2 linked regions of the Macaca mulatta genome follow. The protein of the gene in region 2 interacts with the protein of the main gene of each other region in a pairwise test. Links are inferred from orthologs where the notes say so. Each region holds a gene or a part of one and is shown on either strand. Other genes may lie near its edges.

Region 1 (3,809 bases), on a different chromosome or scaffold from region 2:
CCCCCTAGACCTGCCCCTCACCCACTGCCAGCCACCTCAGGAAGCCAGCCCAACCTGGCACCACCCCCGGCACCTATTAGTCTATTCGCTTTGTGGGGGATGCTCTGACCCGTGTGCAGCACTGCTGACCAGCATGGCACAACCAGTGGTACATGAATGAGGTCACCACGGTGGCCTCGCCTGGCCTTGGGCCTTGCCTGATTACCGCCCCAGGCACATGGGGCTCCCCCAGCCCAGCCCAGCCCTCTGGCTGATGCCCTCTTGCCTCCCAGCAGCCCTCTCCCACCTGGGTCTGAGGACAGAAGCCCTCCCTGCACCAAGTGCTCCAGGGGCAGGTGGGGAGTGGAGGCCCCGGAGCAGCCAGCCGGGCAGTAGGTGACCACCTCCTGTCCTTCAGCCAGCAGCCCTGCGGCGCCACCCAGGACGAGGGTGGGAGGGGCTCAGAGTGAACCTCAGGCCTGTGCTGTCCCTGAGGCCAAGAAGAACTGGCTTGCAGGGCCATTTTCTGGCGGCTGCCACCTCAGCCATGCTGGCCTGGCCTCTATCCCACCCCTCCCCAGCTCCCGATCCGGTCTGTGCCTGTGGGGAGCAAGACCCCCCCCACAACCCTGGCACTCACCCTGGGCCTCATAGCCGGCCAGGTCAGGCTTCTCTGAGGCTGCTGGGCTGGTCAGGCGGCCGAGCACCAGCTGCAGCTGTGCCACATTCATGCGGGCCGTGAGCTCCCCATGGCGGTCCCCGATCTGCAGTGAGCGGGACGGAGCGGGCAAGTGTGGCCGGGGGCCCTGCTGTGGGCTCCAAGGGGACCTCAATGGCCCCCAGTACACCTGTCCCTGACCACCTCAGTGACCTGAACTGGTCACTGACCCCTGGGCCTGAGGGAACCAGGACTCACTGCGGACTCGGAGGTGGAGTCTGGGGCTCTGTCCCTGGGTGAGGTGGCCCTACAGGTCCTCAACAGCCCCTAGTCCCACCCCAGAGATGCACGGGGTCCCAGGCAGCCAGGCCTGTGCCCTCTGGTGCGCGAGAGGCCCGGCCCCGCCCGGCTGCACCTCTCTCAGCCCTTGTGCGCTGAGGCTCCGTGGGACCCGCCCAGGAACATCCACATTTCTCAGGCACTGTTTGCTTAAGTCAAGCAGAAGAGAGAGTGACATGGCACGGGAGGCACTGCCACATGGAGCCCTGGAGGGCCCTGGAGGCTGTAGCCTGCACTCAGAGGGACACGGGGGCTGCCTCCTGGCTGCCAGTGGAGAAGCTCTCCAGACAAGGGCTCTGCTGACCTTTGCATGCCCGCCCCTCTCCACCCTCACCTGGGCACCTGCAGGCCTCCCCACCCGGCCACCTCCCACACGGGGCTATGGTGGTCAGTAGGGGCTGGCACCATCTTTAGCATGAACAGACTCAGGGTGTGCAGAGGGAGGTGGCGTGGGAGTGCGTGATGTAAGGACAAGCCAGGAGCTGGGAGGCCCAGAGTTCATCTGTGATGTTCCGCCCTGACCACAGTAGGAGGGTGCTAATGGACAGAGCCCACAGAGACCCTGTGCAACCTCTCCAAGGAGGAGGAGACGCAGCTGTCCAGGAAAGCATCAGCTGGGGGCTGCGGGAAAAACCCCCAGGTGCGGTAGACACCTTGTCACCAGGCCTCAGAAGGACCAGGCGGCTGCAACGGCCCTGAAAGGATGAGGGGCAGCCCAGGCATGCAAACGCTTGCTCGGGACAGAGTGAACCCGGCCCGTCTGGAGTGGGCTGGGCAGTGCCCGGGGCCCCTGGGGGCAGGCCTGGCTCACCTCCTGGGAAATCTGCAGGTGCTTCTTGGCGAAGGTCAGGGCCTGCGCCGGGCGCCCCATGGACACGTAGGCATTTCCCAGGCTCCAGCACGCCCGGCCCTCGCCCACTCTGCCAGAGAGGGAGACGGGATTCATACCCGCCCTCTCCAGGCCTGCCCCCAGCCCCAGCCCCTCCCCTGGTGGTCAGGGCCCCAGCATGACCCTGGCTTCGAGGGTCATCGGGGCCCCCAGGTCCAAGGAGCATAGACCGGAGGGCAGGATAACGCCCCTAGCCGGGACCTCCCACAAATTCTGCCACCTTCAAGGAGAAGACCCAATCAGCTCTGCCTTTTTCATTCCCATTAAAAGGATTAGTGCACAGAGCCCAAGCAACCTGGCCTGTGGCCAGTTCTGCCTTTGTGGGCAGTTTCTGGGCCCTTGGCCTCGCTCGCCCCCTGGCGGCCAGCTTCCTTGCACTCCCTCCACCCTCAGAGGCACCCCCAAGTCACTGGGTGAGGGGGTTGCTTTTATGTTGGAGGGAAATGCATCTAACAGGAATGTGATCCTTTTCACGTGGACGATTCAGTGGCATTTTGTCCACTCATGCCGTGCAACCGGCACCTCTGTCTATTCCAGAACATTCTCATCACCACCCCACAAAGGAAAACCCTGGGCCACTTTTAAGCCTCCAGGCATGGCAGCCTTTCAGAAGGCCCCTCCTCTCCGCTGCCTGTGAAAGGCCACAGGCCTGTGGCTCTGAGCCTCTTGTTCTGGCCACCACTTACCCCAGACCTGCACACAGGACAGTACTTAGGGGCCTGTGGTTTGCCAGCCTGTCTCTGTCCAGAGACTGATATTTACATACATACACAGGTGGTGGGGGTCAACAGGGTGGCGAACTGAGTGATGGGAGGAGGACCCCACCCACTTGTGCCAGGAGTCAGCAGCCAGCCCTGTGTCCACACTGTCTGGCTCGGTCCCCACAGCGGTGCTGCCCTGCCCGGGTCACAGCACGGTCAGTGGCAGAGCAGGGGATGGGACCCCGGCCACCTCGCCTGGGCTGCGGTGATTCAGTCTGTGGGCCGGGCCGGGTCTGCCCACCGCATCCGCGCCACGCACCTGTCGGCCAGCTCCTGCGCAATGAGCAGGTGCCGCAGGTGGTACTCGGCCGCACGCTCATAGTCCTGCAGCAGCGTGTACGTGTTGCCCAGGCTATAGCAGGCCTGCGCCTCCACCGCCTGGTCCCTGAGCTGCCGAGACAGTTGCAGCGTCTTCCTGTGAACAGTGGCAAGGTCAGCCCCCAGGAGGAGGGTTCCAGGGTGAGGGGTGGAAGATAAGAATGGGGACGCAGTCTGCCCAGTGGTCCCCTGCCCCGGAATCCCTCTGGGGCCTCTCTGGGGTCCAGCTTCATCCCCACCCTTACATGGCCACAGAGCCGGACTGTTGGCTCCAGGGTGACAGGCGGTCCTGGCAGGCTCTGGCAAGTCGCCTGACTACCCTGAGCCACCACTCCTCCCTGGAGGACCTGGGACTGCTGTGCCCAGTGCTCAGGCTGAGATGGGGCTAAGTTTAGGGCTGGGTATAGGACCCAGTGCTGACAGCCGGGCTCCACCCGGCAGGCACTGCTCTGGCTCAGGCCAGGAGGCAGATGGCCCAGACCTCCCATAAGCCGGCTCCCCCACCACCTGCCTCCTCATGAGCTTTGTCCATCTGCCCTTCCCGGGGCAGCCTAGAACCCCACCTTGACTTCTGGTTAGGGAAGGGGAGGCAGTCAGATTCCCACCTTGGGGCGGGCACCTCCTTGGTGTGGCATCCAGCTCCCCCTGTCCTGCTGTTTCCCTGGGAGATTGTGGGGACCACCTACTTGTAGTACTCAGCAGCCACGTCGAAGCACCCCAGGAAGACGTGGGCGTTCCCCAGGTTGCTGTAGGCCCTCCTCTCGGCCGCCTTGTCTCCAAACTCCTTAGCAATGGCCAGGCGCTGCGGAGACAGACCCGAGGCCAGGCAGTCATGGAGCAGCCCTGGGGCCTGATGTGGGTGGAC
Region 2 (4,563 bases):
ACTGCAAAATGTCAGAAAACATGAATAAAATCTTTTCTGATGATGAAAAGTCTCTCCCACAAACAACAAACATGAAGCCAAAGAAAACTGTAACATAATACTCCAAGCTGAATCCAGTGTGCTCAAACAAGCATTTAGGGGTATGAAAAATCACCCCTGAATTAGAAATGTAAAGTCAAAGAATAAAAATGGACAAGAAACGAAACAAGAAAACAAACAAACAGGAAGAGATTAAATGAGAATTGATTAAAGTTAGGAAAGACAGAGAAATAAAAAACAAAATTATATCAGAAATAATGACTGAATCACAAAGTATACAAGCAATGACAGGTTGTAATAAAAATTTAATAAAGGCACTGAAGAAAATCAGGAAAGCCACCATTAGAATAAAAAATAAAATAAAGAACTAAAAAGGGTGAAAGCCGGGCCTGGTGGCTCACACCTGTAATCCCAGCACTTAGGGAGGCAGAAGCAGGAGGATAGCTTGAACCCAGGAGTTCAAGACCTATCTGAGCAACAGAGCAAGACCTCATTCTCCACAAAAAGGAAGAAAAGAAGACAAAAAAAAAAAAAAAAAGTGTGAGAGAGGATTGAAATGGAAGACAGGTAAATAAGGTTGAATATAACTGGGTTTCCTAAAGGAAAAACATAGAACAATGAAACAGAACTATTATTTAAAACTATAATCCAAGAAAATTTTCCAGATACAAAGACCTGAATCTACACATTTTCCATACTAGGGAAAGGTGACCAAGAATGATCAACTCTGAGACATACACTATTAAAACAATATTAAGACTTTAAAGATAATGAAAAAATCCTCAGTACCTCCAGGCAAAAAAGATGAAATAATTTACAAAGGCAAGAAGATTAGACTGGCACTAGGTTATTAAAAAGCAACACACACAGTAAGGCAAGAGTGTAGTAGTACTTTCAAGAAAGAAAAAAAGGACAAACCAAGGATATTACAGCCAGCCAAGATGTCCTTCAAAACGTCTGAAGCCACAAAAAAAAGCAGTTTTGACTGTACCGGAACACTGTGCCGTGTGCCTCTGCTGAGGATTCTACTAGAGAAGATGAGCCTCATTCACCCAAAAGACCACTGTAAAATGTGGCAACTGGTGAAGATCTTCAAGGTTTCGTGTAGGTTCTAAACTTTTAAAAGTAAATTTGGAAAAAAAGGATAAATACAAACATTTAAAAAACAAGACTGCGAAAACTGCAAGGGGACGGATGGTGAATATTTAAATATTCAGTTATAGAGTTGAGAAAAACAAAGGTGAGGTAATGGCACTGAGTAGTGATATAAATATGTGCATGACAAAGGAGAATAAATGTAACTAAAAACGGAAGGAAGAGGAAGAAAAGCAGAAAGTAAAAGACCATTGACTGTTATAAATGGAATAGACAGTAGTCGAAGGACACCACTTAAAACTGACAAAAAGGAAAGGTCAAGTAAGAAAAAGGGGTTTTAAAAGTGCACTATAAAAAGCATAAGTACAAAAGTAACCACTAGAGTAAAAATACAAACCTTCTTAAATGACAAAGAATTCTAAACGGAAACATAAAGAAGAAACACCAAATAAAGAAACTCTAGCAAATATAACACATTCAGTAATTACACCCACAAGATAATATAATGGTGTGAAAAAAATACCACAGAATTTAGACCAGTCATGTTGATAAATGTCAGAGGACTTAACTTGCCTATTGGAAGACAAGGATTTTCAAATTGGCTTTCAAAAAAAACAACTCTTCTAAGTACAAAAAAGTATGCCTAAAATCGCACAGATTCAAAAAGATTAAAAAAAAAGGATGAACAAAAATTTTCCAGGCAAATGAAAACAATAAGAAAGCACCGGTTAAAATCCTGATACCAGACTAAGCAGTCTTCAAGCCAGAGAGCATTAACTAAAACAAAATGCAGTGCACTTGAAGTTAAAAGCCACGTTCCACAATAAAGATATGTACCACATAACACAGCAATCACTTGGATAAAGCATAAATCCACAGAAGATATGCTAAGAACTGCAAACACAGTAATAATGGGAGGCTTTAACGGACAATTAGTATTACACAGGCCAAGTGGACAAAAAATAAGTAGAGATATAAAAGATTTAGAAGAACTAATCACTAAGGTTGACCTTTAGGCTATATATTAAACACTATACTTTGATAACAGACAATATACTTTCCTCGCCAAGGGCACATGACACATTCACAAAAATCAGTCACATTCTGGGGCACAAATAAAAGGTTGGTAGGCTCCATAAAGTAGAAATGTTACAAACCACACCTTCTGGTCACAATATAATAAAGCTAAAAATTAAAATCAAAATCTCCAAATTAAAAAGGTCTTTCCACTGGGAAATTAAAAGGCCTTCTATTAAACAACTCTTGTGTGACTAGGGAAATACAAGCTGAAATTAAATAATTTCTGAAAAATAATAATGAATATAGTATATATCAATCTGTGACATACATTAAAATAGTAAAAAGATGAAAATTCCCAGCCCTAGACACATATATCAATAAAAATGAAATAACAAAAGTAAATTAAGTCTCTAACACAAAAACATAGAAAAATGGGTGAACTAAAAGAAAGCACAAGTAGGAAATAATAAATGCAAAAGCAGAAATTAAGATAGAAAAAAGAAAAACAATTGGTCAAATTCATGAATCAAAATCTTGATTCTTTAAAAAACAAAACAAAATAGATGTGGGTGAGGACCACTAACGTGATGGGAAGAGGAACATCAGGTAACACACTGCTTATCATTTTTACATTAATTCATGATTGTCAGCATAAAGTGCTTAAAAATTTTTTTAAAAAACCTTGAGCATAACAGTTTTTATTAAACTGAATTCATTTTTGTTATACTCACATTTTCTTCCTTTTGATTACTGAGATGCCACCTGTCAAAAAAAACTACAGTCAACGATAGAACATATCTACCTTAATACGTTTCGTGCTATCATTTTTTAGGAAGTAAGTAGTAGACAGGGAGATATTCCATAAAGAATTATAACAAGTAGAATGTTAGTCAAGATTGCTAGGCAATTTAAATGTTCTAAATAGAAGAGACTGCTACTTGAGGAAAAAAAAACCTTGCCCATTGAAAGAAAAGGATTTTCAAATTGGCTTATAAAAAATGACGCTATGCTGTGTACAAGAAGCATGACTTCTCATTTAAACGAGTTTCACTGTAAATGTTTGTTGTATAATTTTATTGATACACTAAAATGATACATTTTGGGATTCTTCAGGATAACAAATGACACTAAGAAAATTCAAACTGCTGAATAATGTTATCATGAATTAGAGATTAGAAGCATAAAGAAATGAGTAGGACAGGTATAGAACCACAACCAAATACTGGCAAATCATATAGTAATTCACTATCAAAGACTTTAGTATTAAGCAGGAAACAGAATCTAAGACCGAGGCAGAACTGAAACTAGAATTTAGAGAATAGAGAAAAGAAGAAAGAGGAAGGTTTGGCTTTAGAATATTCTGATGTTGAAACCACACTTGTTTACTTCGAAGTAAGATGATGAATGCTTGTGTTATCATAACTCAGTATGAATGCTTGTGTTATTAATAACAGGCTGTTGGAAAGCAGCAGTCCTTCAAAGGTGAATTTTTTTCTTAGAAAATTAGTAGTTTACAGAAGGCAGCACAGGTTTATTCACTTAAAATAGAGTTTTAAAACAACCATTTATTTGTGAAGAGGATGCTTAGTACCTCTGTTGCCAATGTTGGTAGTTATTTTGTGTGTGTATTCTAGAGTAATGAAAATCAGGATTTAAATAATATTTGTAATTCATTTTCACTATTTTAGACTGACCATATATCCTCAATTTGGTCAAGTCATCAGTGTTTCTATACTTTTGTGACACTATAGGAATTGAAATATTTTTCCTATTTTCAGGCATAAAGCTTATGAAATGATTAAAGATTTCTAGAAAAAGCAAGGTTTTTTGCTTTGGTAAATCATAAAATTGTCTAAAAGCTCTGCACTTGGTTGAACTGGGGATCATAACATGAATTTACATGTGTTTATTTTAAATCTCTCAGTAAAATACAGAGGTGAGACCTTGGCCTCTTCTGATATGCCCAAGGTCTATTTTGAACAGTTCTGCCTGATTTAAAATTACGAACAAGTTCACATTAAAAGGAGCCTTACATTTCTATAAAGTAATATCTAGGCCGGGTGCAGTGGCTCACGCCTGTAATCCCAGCACTTTGGGAGGCCAAGGCGGGCAGATCACAAGGTCAGGAGATCGAGACCATCCTGGCTAACATGGTGAAACCCCACCTCTACTAAAAATACAAAAAATTAGCCTGGCGTGGTGGTGGGCACTTGTAGTCCCAGCTACTTGGGAGGCCGAGGCAGGAGAATGGCGTGAACCCAGGAGGCGGGGCTTGCCGAGAGCGGAGATCGTGCCACTGCACTCCAGCCTGGGCAAGAGAGGGAGACTCTGTCTCAAAAAAAAAATAAAATAAAAAGTTATATCTATGTAACTATTCTACTCTAGTTATTTGATTGGAATGTTGCGGAA

Evidence for each region.
Region 1: the proteins of CCDC158 (region 2) and GPSM1 interact in a two-hybrid assay, tested with the Homo sapiens proteins (2 studies listed by BioGRID and IntAct). The link is inferred for Macaca mulatta from reciprocal best matches to the Homo sapiens genes CCDC158 and GPSM1.

What each region holds. Positions count from the first base shown.
Region 1 is NC_133420.1:6,169,547-6,173,355, forward strand, and holds part of GPSM1 (G-protein-signaling modulator 1), read right to left. Parts: intron 3,747-3,809; coding exon 3,631-3,746; intron 3,042-3,630; coding exon 2,886-3,041; intron 1,897-2,885; coding exon 1,788-1,896; intron 744-1,787; coding exon 620-743; intron 1-619. UniProt on the Homo sapiens protein: Guanine nucleotide dissociation inhibitor (GDI) which functions as a receptor-independent activator of heterotrimeric G-protein signaling.
Region 2 is NC_133410.1:57,404,845-57,409,407, reverse strand, and holds the start of CCDC158 (coiled-coil domain-containing protein 158), read right to left. Parts: upstream 3,007-4,563; 5' UTR 2,886-3,006; intron 1-2,885.